3 linked regions of the Stegostoma tigrinum genome follow. The protein of the gene in region 1 interacts with the protein of each later gene in a biochemical or structural test. Links are inferred from orthologs where the notes say so. Each region holds a gene or a part of one and is shown in the gene's direction. Other genes may lie near its edges.

What was found.
Region 2: the proteins of large proline-rich protein BAG6-like (region 1) and amfra form a complex in vitro, tested with the Homo sapiens proteins (2 studies listed by BioGRID, with this or other methods). The link is inferred for Stegostoma tigrinum from reciprocal best matches to the Homo sapiens genes BAG6 and AMFR.
Region 3: the proteins of large proline-rich protein BAG6-like (region 1) and small glutamine-rich tetratricopeptide repeat-containing protein alpha-like form a complex in vitro, tested with the Homo sapiens proteins (4 studies listed by BioGRID, with this or other methods). The link is inferred for Stegostoma tigrinum from reciprocal best matches to the Homo sapiens genes BAG6 and SGTA.

Annotation. Positions count from the first base shown.
Region 1 is NC_081387.1:19,777,325-19,781,079, reverse strand, and holds the start of large proline-rich protein BAG6-like, read left to right. Parts: upstream 1-1,091; 5' UTR 1,092-1,448; intron 1,449-3,755. UniProt on the Homo sapiens protein: ATP-independent molecular chaperone preventing the aggregation of misfolded and hydrophobic patches-containing proteins.
Region 2 is NC_081369.1:10,286,944-10,290,698, forward strand, and holds the start of amfra (autocrine motility factor receptor a), read left to right. Parts: upstream 1-1,538; 5' UTR 1,539-1,704; coding exon 1,705-2,073; intron 2,074-3,755. UniProt on the Homo sapiens protein: E3 ubiquitin-protein ligase that mediates the polyubiquitination of lysine and cysteine residues on target proteins, such as CD3D, CYP3A4, CFTR, INSIG1, SOAT2/ACAT2 and APOB for proteasomal degradation.
Region 3 is NC_081383.1:7,848,619-7,852,373, reverse strand, and holds the start of small glutamine-rich tetratricopeptide repeat-containing protein alpha-like, read left to right. Parts: upstream 1-1,391; 5' UTR 1,392-1,525; intron 1,526-3,755. UniProt on the Homo sapiens protein: Co-chaperone that binds misfolded and hydrophobic patches-containing client proteins in the cytosol. Mediates their targeting to the endoplasmic reticulum but also regulates their sorting to the proteasome when targeting fails.

The DNA of each region.
Region 1 (3,755 bases):
GTCAATGAGGGTGCACAGACTGTGAACAGGAAGTGAATGTGTGCACTCAGACTGTGTACAGAATATGGCTATATCACAGTATGAGTGTGACTGTGTACAGACTGTGAGTATGTCCAGTCAGGGAATGTGTACAGGCAGACTGTGTAAAGGCAGTGAGTGTGTGTGCAGACTGTGACAGTGTACCAACTGTGTGTGCACAGATTGTGACTGTACTTGCTGCGGGTGCAAACAGAATGTGTGTACAGGCAGTGAGTGTTTATAGACTGTGACAGTGTACAGAATGTGACAGTGTGCAGACTGTGTGTGCACAGATTGTGACTGTGTACAGGCTGTGGCTGTGTACAGGCAGTGAGAGTATACAGTCAGTGATAGTGTACAGGCAGTGAGCATGTACAGACAGTGACACTGTACAGACTGTGACTGTGTACAGGCAGTGTATTCAGGCTGTGTGAGTACATGTAATGAGTGTGTACAGAATGTGAGTGTGCCTCTGTAAAGGCAGTGTGTCCATACAGTGAGTGTATACAGTCAGTGAAAGTGAGTGCATAAGGCAGGGAGTTATAGTCAGTAAGTGTGTACAGACTGTGAACAGGCAGTGAGTGTGTACATGCAGTGTGTATGTACAGTCTGGAAAGTGTACAGACAGATTGTGTACAGCTGTGAGCATGTACTGGCAGTGACTGTGTACATGCTGTGAGTGTGTACAGACTGTGTCCACAGTTAGTAAGTGTGTACAGACTGTGAGGATGTACTGGCTGTGACAGTATATCTGCTGCAAGGGTGTGGAGACTGTGAATGTGTACATGCAGTGAGTGTGTATAAACTGTGAGTGTGAATCTGAGCAGGTAGTGTGTGTGTGTACAAACTGTCGCTGTGTGTGTACAAGCTGTAGCTGTGTACATGCAGTGTGTACTGACGGTGAGCGTGATTGTACAGACTGAGTGTGACATGCACAGGCTGTTAGTGTGTACAGGTGGTGCATATGCGCAGACAGTCACTGTGTATAGGCTGAGAGTGTGAACAGGCAATGAGTGTGTACGGGCAATGACTGTACACAGACTGTCAGTGTGTGAGGAAAATGACTGGGCACAGGCTGAGTGTGTACAGGCAGTGAGCATGACTATACAGGCTGTGAGTGTGTACAGGCAGTGAATGTGAGCGTGTGCAGGCTGTGAGTGTGTACAGGCAGAGACAGTGAGTGTGCAGGCAGGCGGGAGCGGGGCAGCCGCGGTCTCCATGGTTGCCGGAGGGGGCCTGGCGGGGAGTGCGCAGGCGCACTGCTTCTCGGGGACGGTGCCGAGCGCGGAGACGGTCACAGAGAGAGCGGCCGGTGGGTGGCGAGACACGGGCCTGTTCATCACCGCCGGCAGGGAGCTGCACCAACACCCTCGTCCCGGCTGCTCCACTTCCGAGGCGGCGGAGAGCCCGGAGCGGGATCGGGAACCAGGGTGAGTGCGCCACGGGCCGCAGGAGGGAGTGAGGGCCCGGAGCCAGGCCTGAGGGAGTAGGCCGCGGGACGGGGGGGTGGTGGGGGAAGCTTGGGGGTGTGAGCCAGGAGCTGGGGTGAAGGTGGTTCCCTATTCCCCCCCCCACCGCACCCACTCGCGTTTTCCCTCCGTGTGTGTCCTCAGAACCTGCGACACTCCCCACCAATTACCCACACACACACACTCCCCCCCACACACTCCCCCCCCCCACAACACACACTCCCCCCCCCCCAACACACACTCCCCCCCCAACACACACTCCCCCCCCCCCCAACACACACTCCCCCCCCAACACACACTCCCCCCCCCCAAACACACACTCCCCCCCCCAACACACACTCCCCCCCAACACACGCTCCCCCCCCAACACACACTCCCCCCCCCCAACACACACTCCCCCCCCCAACACACACTCCCCCCCCAACACACACTCCCCCCCCCCCAACACACACTCCCCCCCCAACACACACTCCCCCCCCCCCCCAACACACACTCCCCCCCCCAACACACACTCCCCCCCAACACACGCTCCCCCCCCAACACACACTCCCCCCCCCCAACACACACTCCCCCCCCAACACACACTCCCCCCCCCCCAACACACACTCCCCCCCCCCAACACACGCTCCCCCCCCAACACACGCTCCCCCCCAACACACACGCTCCCCCCCCCAACACACACTCCCCCCCCCCCAACACACACTCCCCCCCCCCAACACACACTCCCCCCCCAACACACACTTCCCCCCCCAACACACACTCCCCCCCCAACACACACTCCCCCCCCCAACACACACTCCCCCCCCAACACACACTCCCCCCCCCAACACACACACTCCCCCCCCCAACACACGCTCCCCCCCCCAACACACGCTCCCCCCCCAACACACGCTCCCCCCCCCCCAACACACACTCCCCCCCCCAACACACACTCCCCCCCCCCAACACACACTCCCCCCCCCCAACACACACTCCCCCCCCAACACACACTCCCCCCCCAACACACACTCCCCCCCAACACACACTCCCCCCCCCAACACACACTCCCCCCCCCAACACACACTCCCCCCCCCCAACACACACTCCCCCCCCCAACACACACACTCCCCCCCCCAACACACGCTCCCCCCCCCAACACACGCTCCCCCCCCCAACACACCTGCCTCCCCCCCCAACACACGCTCCCCCCCCAACACACGCTCCCCCCCCCAAACACACGCTCCCCCCCAACACACGCTCCCCCCCCAACACACACGCTCCCCCCCCCAACACACACGCTCCCCCCCCCCAACACACACGCTCCCCCCCCCAACACACACACCCCCCCCAACACACGCTCCCCCCCAACACACGCTCCCCCCCCCCCCAACACACGCTCCCCCCCCCCAACACACGCTCCCCCCCCCAACACACGCTCCCACCCCCCCAACACACGCTCCCCCCCCCAACACACGCTCCCCCCCCAAACACACGCTCCCCCCCCAACACACACTCCCCCCCCCAACACACCTCCCCCCCCCACACACACTCCCCCCCCCCCCACACACACACTCCCCCCCCCCACACACACACCCCCCCCCCCCCACACACACACTCCCCCCCCCCACACACACACACCCCCCCCACCCACACACCCCCCACCCACACACCTCCTCCCCCAACACACACTCCTCCCCCAACACACACACCCCCCCACCACACACACACTCCCCCCCCACCACACACACACACCCCCCCCCACCACACACACACACCCCCCCCCCCACACACACACCCCCACACACCACACCCCCCCACCCACACACTCTCCACCCACACACTCTCCACCCCACACTCTCCACCCACACACTCTCCACCCACACACTCCTCCCCCAACACACCACACTCCCCCCCCCCCCACATCACACTCCCCCCCCCACACACACTCCCCCCCCCACACACACTCCCCCCCCCCACACACACCCCCCCCACACCACACTCCCCCCCCACACACACTCCCCCCACACACACTCCCCCCCACACACACTCCCACCCACACACACTCCCCCCCCACACACACTCCCCCCCCCCACCCACACACACCCCCCCCCCACACACACTCCCCCCCCCCCACACACTCCCCCCCCCCACACACTCCCCCCCCACCACACACCCCCCCCCCACACACACCCCCCCCCCACACACTCCCCCCCCCACCACACATCCCCCCCCCCACACACTCCCCCCCCACACACTCCCCCCCCCCACCACACCCCCCCCCCCACACAC
Region 2 (3,755 bases), on another chromosome or scaffold:
TGTCAGTTGCAGCTGGAAGTTATGTCCTTTGTTATTGCCCGTGTATGTTTGGAGGAGCTATGAGTTTGCTGTGTGCTTTTAATGAGAGCATTAAATATATAACATATCATAATCAAACACCTTGTCATTATTATAGTTTGCTCATCTACTTTAACAAAGGTAACACTGTAAAGTCTTATCCTGGCATATTTTCTCAGATCATCAAACCTTGTTTACGTCTGCTCCCATGTTTAGTAAACATTGGAGACATTGTAGAACCTTTTTCCAAGCATTCAGCACTGCTTATACAGAGATTCTGTAATGCAGGACTAACCCAAATAATCTAGATTTTGCCAGTGTCCATGAAAATATGCAGCATGGCAGCAACATCTGTGAAAGTAGAGTGTCCTTCCATTTTACCAGCGTACCAATTGTGAACAATCCACTTGTCCATCTCTCTGCTTGCCTCATTCTTTTTTTGCCTATTGTTCTTGCTTAATTTTTCAGTAAATCAATTCCTTCACCTCCTTTCTCTTCTATTTCCTTTCCAGTCTTCCTTTTCTTTCCATGCTCTTACATGGCCTTTCATTGATTAAACAGGGTTTTTTTTATAATTGTAGTTCCTATGTTCTGGGTTGGAGGGAGTTATTTGATTAATGTTTCATGAAAACATCAGTTAGTGGTTGCAACAGTCAAGAAAGAAATTTGAGCCTGGGCCATTGTGATAACAGAGATCTTGGGCCATCGAACAGCCAGGGAATTGGGAAATGATAGACATGGGAAGTGAGTTTCTGAGTAGAAAGGAAGTCTAAAGGTGGGATGGGATTTAGATGAAACTGAGGCTGGGCAAGATAGCTTTTCATCCATTTCCGGATTTACTATTCAAACAAGCTAATCTAGATTGGTGAAAACGGAAAGAAATGTGGAGGCTGTAAATCAGGAACAAAAACGGAAGTTGCAGGAAAAGCGGAAGCAGGTCTGCCAGCATTTGTGAAGAAAAATCACAGTAAGCCACAACAGTTCTGAGGAAGGGTCGCCTGACCCGAAATCCTACTTCTTCTTCACGGATGCGGCCAGACCTGCTGAGCTTTTCCCGCAACTACTGTGTTTGAATCCAGATTGGTGAGCATGTTAGGTGATGGGCAAACAGAACATGATGCAAGCAATCAGCGAAAGTTTGGATTGGTTTAAGTTCGAAGAGGACGGGATAGTTGAGAAGAGAAACTGTAATACTGAAAAACAGAGGACAACAGTATGGATAAGGGTCTCAGCAGCAGACGGCACGAGACCGGGGTGATGCCACCAGCAATGATGATTAAACCTATAATAACTACTTCAGAATATTATGAGCGAATTCTGTAACTCTAAGCTTAGTAAGGAATGCGTCAAAATGTATATTTGTTAATACCGTCCTCCAAAGAGCTGTTATTGATGACTGCAGGCATGACTAACTGACTCGGTAACCATGGAGACTATCTCCATGACAGTGCGATCCGACATCCCCGTCACTTCGGGAGGTTCTCCGTCCGGCGGCGTCGTCTCAGTACGTCACTTCCGGAGGTTGTTTCCGGCTCGCTCTCCCCCCATCCTGTGTGCTGACGTCACCGATATCGTTGGCTCGAGTTAGAACGGGACCGTTTCTGCGTGCCCGAGCGTTAACGGGAATCTCGGTGCCGTCTCAAGCCAGGTCACTGGGGTAACGGCAGCGCAGCCATCAGCTTCGCCATGCCGCTCCTTTTCCTTGAGCGTTTCCCCTGGCCAAGCTTGCGGACCTATACGGCCCTGAGCGCAGCGCTGTTGGCGATCAGCCTCTTTAGCGCCTATTCCAACCTCAGCCTGCCCCCGGGCCCCGCTGCCCTGCGGGTCCCCGACCCCGGCGATCCTACCCCCAGCGACGCCACAAACGGCGATCGGCCGAACGGAATCGATGAGGGCGGCAGCGGCCGGGAAAGCGGGGCAAACGCCGCCCAGTACTTGTCTCCCAATCATGGTGAAGGCGATCTGGGATTAACTAGTCGACCCGACTGGGCCAATGGCCATGGACTGGCGGCACAGATGGCCTGGTACCTGGTGTCAGACGGCTGGTGTGTTTGGGTGAGTGCTTGTATTGCTTCGTTGTGTTTTTATGGGGGGGTGTCAATTTAGTTTTGTAAGGAAGATGAGTTTCTCTGGCCTTTTGGACTGATCAAGCAACTTGTAGACGTGGTTTAAAATTCTAAAACCTTATAGGAAACAATTCGTTAAGGGACAAAAACAAAGTTGCTGGAAAAGCTCAGCAGGCCTAGCAGCATCTGTGACCCTTCCTCAGAACTGTCTTATTCAGACCCGAAACGTTAACTATTTTCCTTCACAGGTGCTGCCAGACCCGCTGAGCTTTTTCAGCAACTTTGTTTTTGTTCCTGATTTACAGCATCCGCAGCTCTTTCACTTTTTAAATCGTTAAGGGAGTTCTTTTTGAACACAGTAATCGATAACGGAATAAACGCATTGCTGCCGTTGTCACTGACTTGTGTTTCTAAACGTTCGGGTCAGAATTCACTGACGCGGTTAGATATTTCAATGTGTACTCCAAAAGAGTTTCCGTTGGAATGAAAACAAATTTTCATAATCTACTGTTGCAGTTTTTTTCTGTTCTCTAAAACCTCTTAAAGATTTTTACTGTAAAATTTATTTCACGTTCGTCATCTGCTAAAATGAATGATGCAGGGCTCACCTAATACTATCGTTTGAAACAGAAATAGTGCCTTTCTACACTCGCTGGGTACCATCTTTCTTCTAGCGAAAACTGAAGGAAGACCCATTTTATTCCTTCAATTCGGATCCAGTGCGTTTCCTTCTAAGTTTCAGGAGGTGCCCTCGGAGGTGTGTCTAGCTTTTCAAATATTCTACGAATTGAGTTGAAGCATTTCGGATAGAGAACTGAATATTTGGAGAAATAAAAGAAATGTAGTATGAAAGATTAGGATCATACGATTAGGGAGATTAAGCCATACCTCTTCACAATTCTGTTTGAGTGTTGTAGAAGGTTCCTGAACTACAGGTGAGTTTGAAGTGTTGGGCAACAGTCGGAAAATGGAGTTAAAGTTGTGATTGGATCAGCAATGATCATACTGAATGACAAAACAGACTGGAAAGGCCATAACACGTACTCCTATTTGTGTTCTTGGGTTTTTGCATTGTGATGAGGAAACCCATGAAATAACTTTGAGCTCGTATGTAACCCTGGGAATGAAGGGATGGAGTGTTGAGTGATGTGAGCTCTTGATTCATTTAAGATATGTAACTCTTAAGGGTCAATGCTGGTAGCATTGCTCTATCCAAGTCATTCAGAAATACAATGTAGGAAAAAATTCCAGAATTTGCTGATTGTGTTACATGTGGACCTGCGGTAAACATACAGGATGATACCAATGAACTGTAAGATGGTAAAGCAAAATGGGTAGCAAATTGCAGATAGAATTCATTGCAGAGAAGTGAGAGGTGATACATTTTGGTCAAAAGAATAGGAAGAAGCAGTATATGCCACAACTGCAGCATTGTGCCAAGTTGTAGGAAATGATGGTCCTTGTGATGGTGTAGACAAGATTCACTGAATTGCTCCAGGGAGAACAATCCTGGAACCAGAGGTTCAGGAGAAATCTGACAGCTGGACAAGACTGAGATAACAAGGTGTAGAGCTGGATGAATGCAGCAGGCCAAGCAGCATCAGAAGAGCAGGAAGGCTGACGTTTCGGGCCTAGACCCTTCTTTCTGCTCTTTTGATGCTTCTTGGCCTG
Region 3 (3,755 bases), on another chromosome or scaffold:
AGAATCCTGGCGGGTTTACAAATTACTCAAATTTCCATGCTGACACAAAAACGTGTTTCCGAGAAAGCCTGACAAAGTAAATATCTGCACTAAAATGAAATACACCACGGCATCATATTTCCTACTTCTCGAATTACCACCATGACAAAATTATTATCCAACTGATTAGGTTGTTTTCTCTCAAAAGCATGTTGAAGGGTGACCTGATATATGTCTTTATGAGTTAAAAGTGTACGTATAAGCCATTTCCATTTGAGGATCATGTCAAGAAGAGGGGCCATAAGGAATTCCCAGCCAGTGAATGAATGTAGAGTTAGTGCAGACTTGATGCTGAATTTCTGCACTGTAGGGATTCTATGATAAGATAGTCAGCACTAAATCCAGGAGAAACCTCTGTAAAGAGGGTGGACCTCAGAAGAGACAGGCAACACCTAAAGAATGAAAGGAATAAAAGAATATGTTGTAACAAGGTGTAGAGCTGGATGAACACAGCAGGCCAAGCAGCGTCAGAGGAGCAGGAAGGCTGACATTTTGGGCCTAGAGCCTTCTTCAGAAAATAATATGTTGATCAGGTTAGATGAAGGGTGAAGAGAATAAGATAATATATTGATAAGAGTTAGATGAACGACATGAAGAGGCTCATGTGATTCATAAGCATTGCGTCAGTCTGTTCTACTGAATGGCTTGTTTCTGAGCTTTAATTCTGATTTCACAAATTGACTTCAATACAGAACAAGGTTTATTTATCCTTAAAAATAAAGCTTTGTGTCACTGTCAGTTTTACTATTTAATATATAATTAATTTATAAACAAGAAAATATCAAATATTGGGCGTGGAATGCCCTGCCTGCCAATGTAGTTAACTCAGCCACATTAGGGGCATTTTATGATGGGATAGTGTAGGGGGAGGAGCTTAGATTAGTTCACAGGTCGGCGCAACATCAAGGGCCGAAGAGATAATGGGAACTGCAGATGCTGGAGAATCCAAGATAATAAAATGTGAGGCTGGATGAACACAGCAGGCCAAGCAGCATCTCAGGAGCACAAAAGCTGACGTTTCGGGCCTAGACCCTTCATCCCCCTCTCTGATGAAGGGTCTAGGCCCGAAACGTCAGCTTTTGTGCTCCTGAGATGCTGCTGGGCCTGCTGTGTTCATCCAGCCTCACATTTTATTATCGAGGGCCGAAGGGCCTGTTCTGCGCTGTATTGTTCTATGTTCTGTATCTGCTGAACAGCATATCAGTTACCAAGCCTATCATCACCACTTGAAGCATTAGCAAAGGAAGTTTCGTCCCCTATATCGGAGCATGCATAAAATGATACTTATTTGACAGATGCGGGCAACCCGAGCAGATGGGCACATGCACCCTGGGGTTCGGCCGTCAACGGGGAGTACGCATGCGTGCTGCGATCCGATCGTCAAGCCGAACAGCACATGCGCTCTAGGGTCCGAAGTCGTCTCGGACGGAGCATGTGCAGAGAGTGTTGTCTTGGTGTTCGTGTCCGTATTTAGTATCAGAAAGCGGTGAGTTTGAAGAAAATATTCCTCAATGGCTTTTGTGTGGGTGATATGAAGAAGTTAGAATGCACCTCCAATTTTGTTTTAAAATAAAGGAACTTGGTATTATAAGTTGGGTCGCTTTTCTGTCGGCTGTGTAACTAAGTGTGAGTGAGGAGGCGCTCAGCGATGCTAGGCCCAAGCTGGAATGTTCTGTCCTTGTATCACTCTGACTTGGGTTTAGTTGTGTGAATATCTCATGTCGAGATAGTTGGCACATTGATCTGTGCAAGCAGTGTACATGTCCTCTGTATTAATGCTGCTCCTATGAGCTAATTTTCAATTAGCTATTAAGTGTTTGTTTGCTGGCTTACCATTTTCACAAATTACATTTGCTGTCTAGAATAGACTAGTGCATCAGACATCAGCATGCAATGTTGTGTTCAAGTAGAATCCAATTGTCAAAGGACTGGACTGTGTTGTAAGGCCTACATAGTTAAAGTGGATAAGGTATGATCATTTTGCAAGCTGATTTGCAGCACTACATTTTGTGTATTCTCTGCTGATTTGGTGTAATATTTATGTATTCAATTGTAATGGATAAAGTCCCCTTGCTTTTTAACTAACTTGTTTGTATTCTGCACCAAAGCAGGAATGAATTTTGGAATCACAGAATCCCCACAGTACAGAATACAAACAAATCCATTGTACATGCCTATTTGCTGTTTGTGTTTTTTTTCTATGTTTGCTTTTCCAAGCCCCCTTGCGCAGGGTGGCTTTCCTTCCTCTACTGAGCCTTTCTCTGTCACATTTATTTTCAATTTATATTTAAATGTTTATTGGTTTCCATTGAAGTTGTGCCATTGGCCTTAAGCAGCTGATTTATGTCTTTCTCATTTTTTCCCCAACTTTAATTATCCTGGGATGCAGTTGTAAAGAATTTGAATAAGCCTTTATTATCAAGTGCACTTGAATGAGTGCAGTGAAAAGTTTGTAATGTCACTATTTTGGCAGCTTCTTAGGAACAGGGTGCTTAGGTACAGAACACTTAAGTATGTGTTGCAGACTTGAAAGAATTGCAAATAAAAATTCAGTGTAAGGATAAACAAGTTTTCTTTTTAAAAAGTACTCAAATTTTAGTCTGTGCCAGTACCGAGCCTTCAGATTGCCCAGGCCAAGTCTCTAGACCCACTAGGCCTCAGATCTTGAGCTTCCAGTCCCCAAGGGCCTTGCTTCTGGTCCACGACTTGCTGCATCTGCACTGGCCTCCGTCCCAGGACTCAATGTCCCTGTGCTGGCCTGGCCCGGGACCCCCTTTGCGACTTGCTGCCCTCGTCGGCCTGGCCTGGGAGTTGCTTCTGGGACTTGACTGAGTTACTGTCATGCTGTGGAGAAAGGGGTAACCCTATCTCCCAGAATGGTGTCCTGATTCTTCAGTTCAGGAAGAAGGAAAAAAAAGTAATAGTAGGTGACCGTTACTACTTTGTGCAGTTGAATGGCTTCAGTGCGAGCTATGTTTTTTTTCATTTCAGAACTCAACAGATGTACAGCTTTTAGTAGCTCAGTGTTTGCATCTGTACTTGGAAAACATGGTGTAGATACTACAATAATTCAAGCTTTACTCTTATTTTTCTGTTTGCATAACAATTTCTTCAGAATTGGAGGCACATTATGGTGCAGAAGGAGGCCATGCTGGCTTTGTGTTTGCACCAGCTAGCCAACGAGCATTATGGCTTAGTGCTGTTTTCCTGCTTTTTTTTTCTTGTACCTTTGCATCTTGTTTTTACTTAAATAATCATCTATTTCCATCTTGAATGCCTCTGAATCTGGCTCAACCACATTTCCAGGGGGTCTAAACCATGTGTGAAAGCTTTTTTTTGACATCTCATTCACCATATTTACAAGTATCTTTTAAATTTCTGCATTCTTGTTGTGGATCATTTTATGAGCAGGAACAGTTTCTTGCTATAAATTCTATCCAGATCTCGCCATGATTTTGAAAACTTCTACTGAAGCTGCTTTTTAGCTGCCTCCAGTCCCAATATCTGCCATCAATGCTCATAACTGAAGGTATTTATCTTTGGAAGCATTTTTGTAAATCTCTTCTAAACTCTGTCCAATGCATTCACATCCTTACATCAGTGTGGTACCCAAACAAAGCACAGTAGTCCAGCTGAGATCTAACAAGTGTCTTGAATAAGTTCAGCTTTCCCTCCTTGCTTTTGTATTCTCTGCCCCTTTTTTAAAAAATGCACAG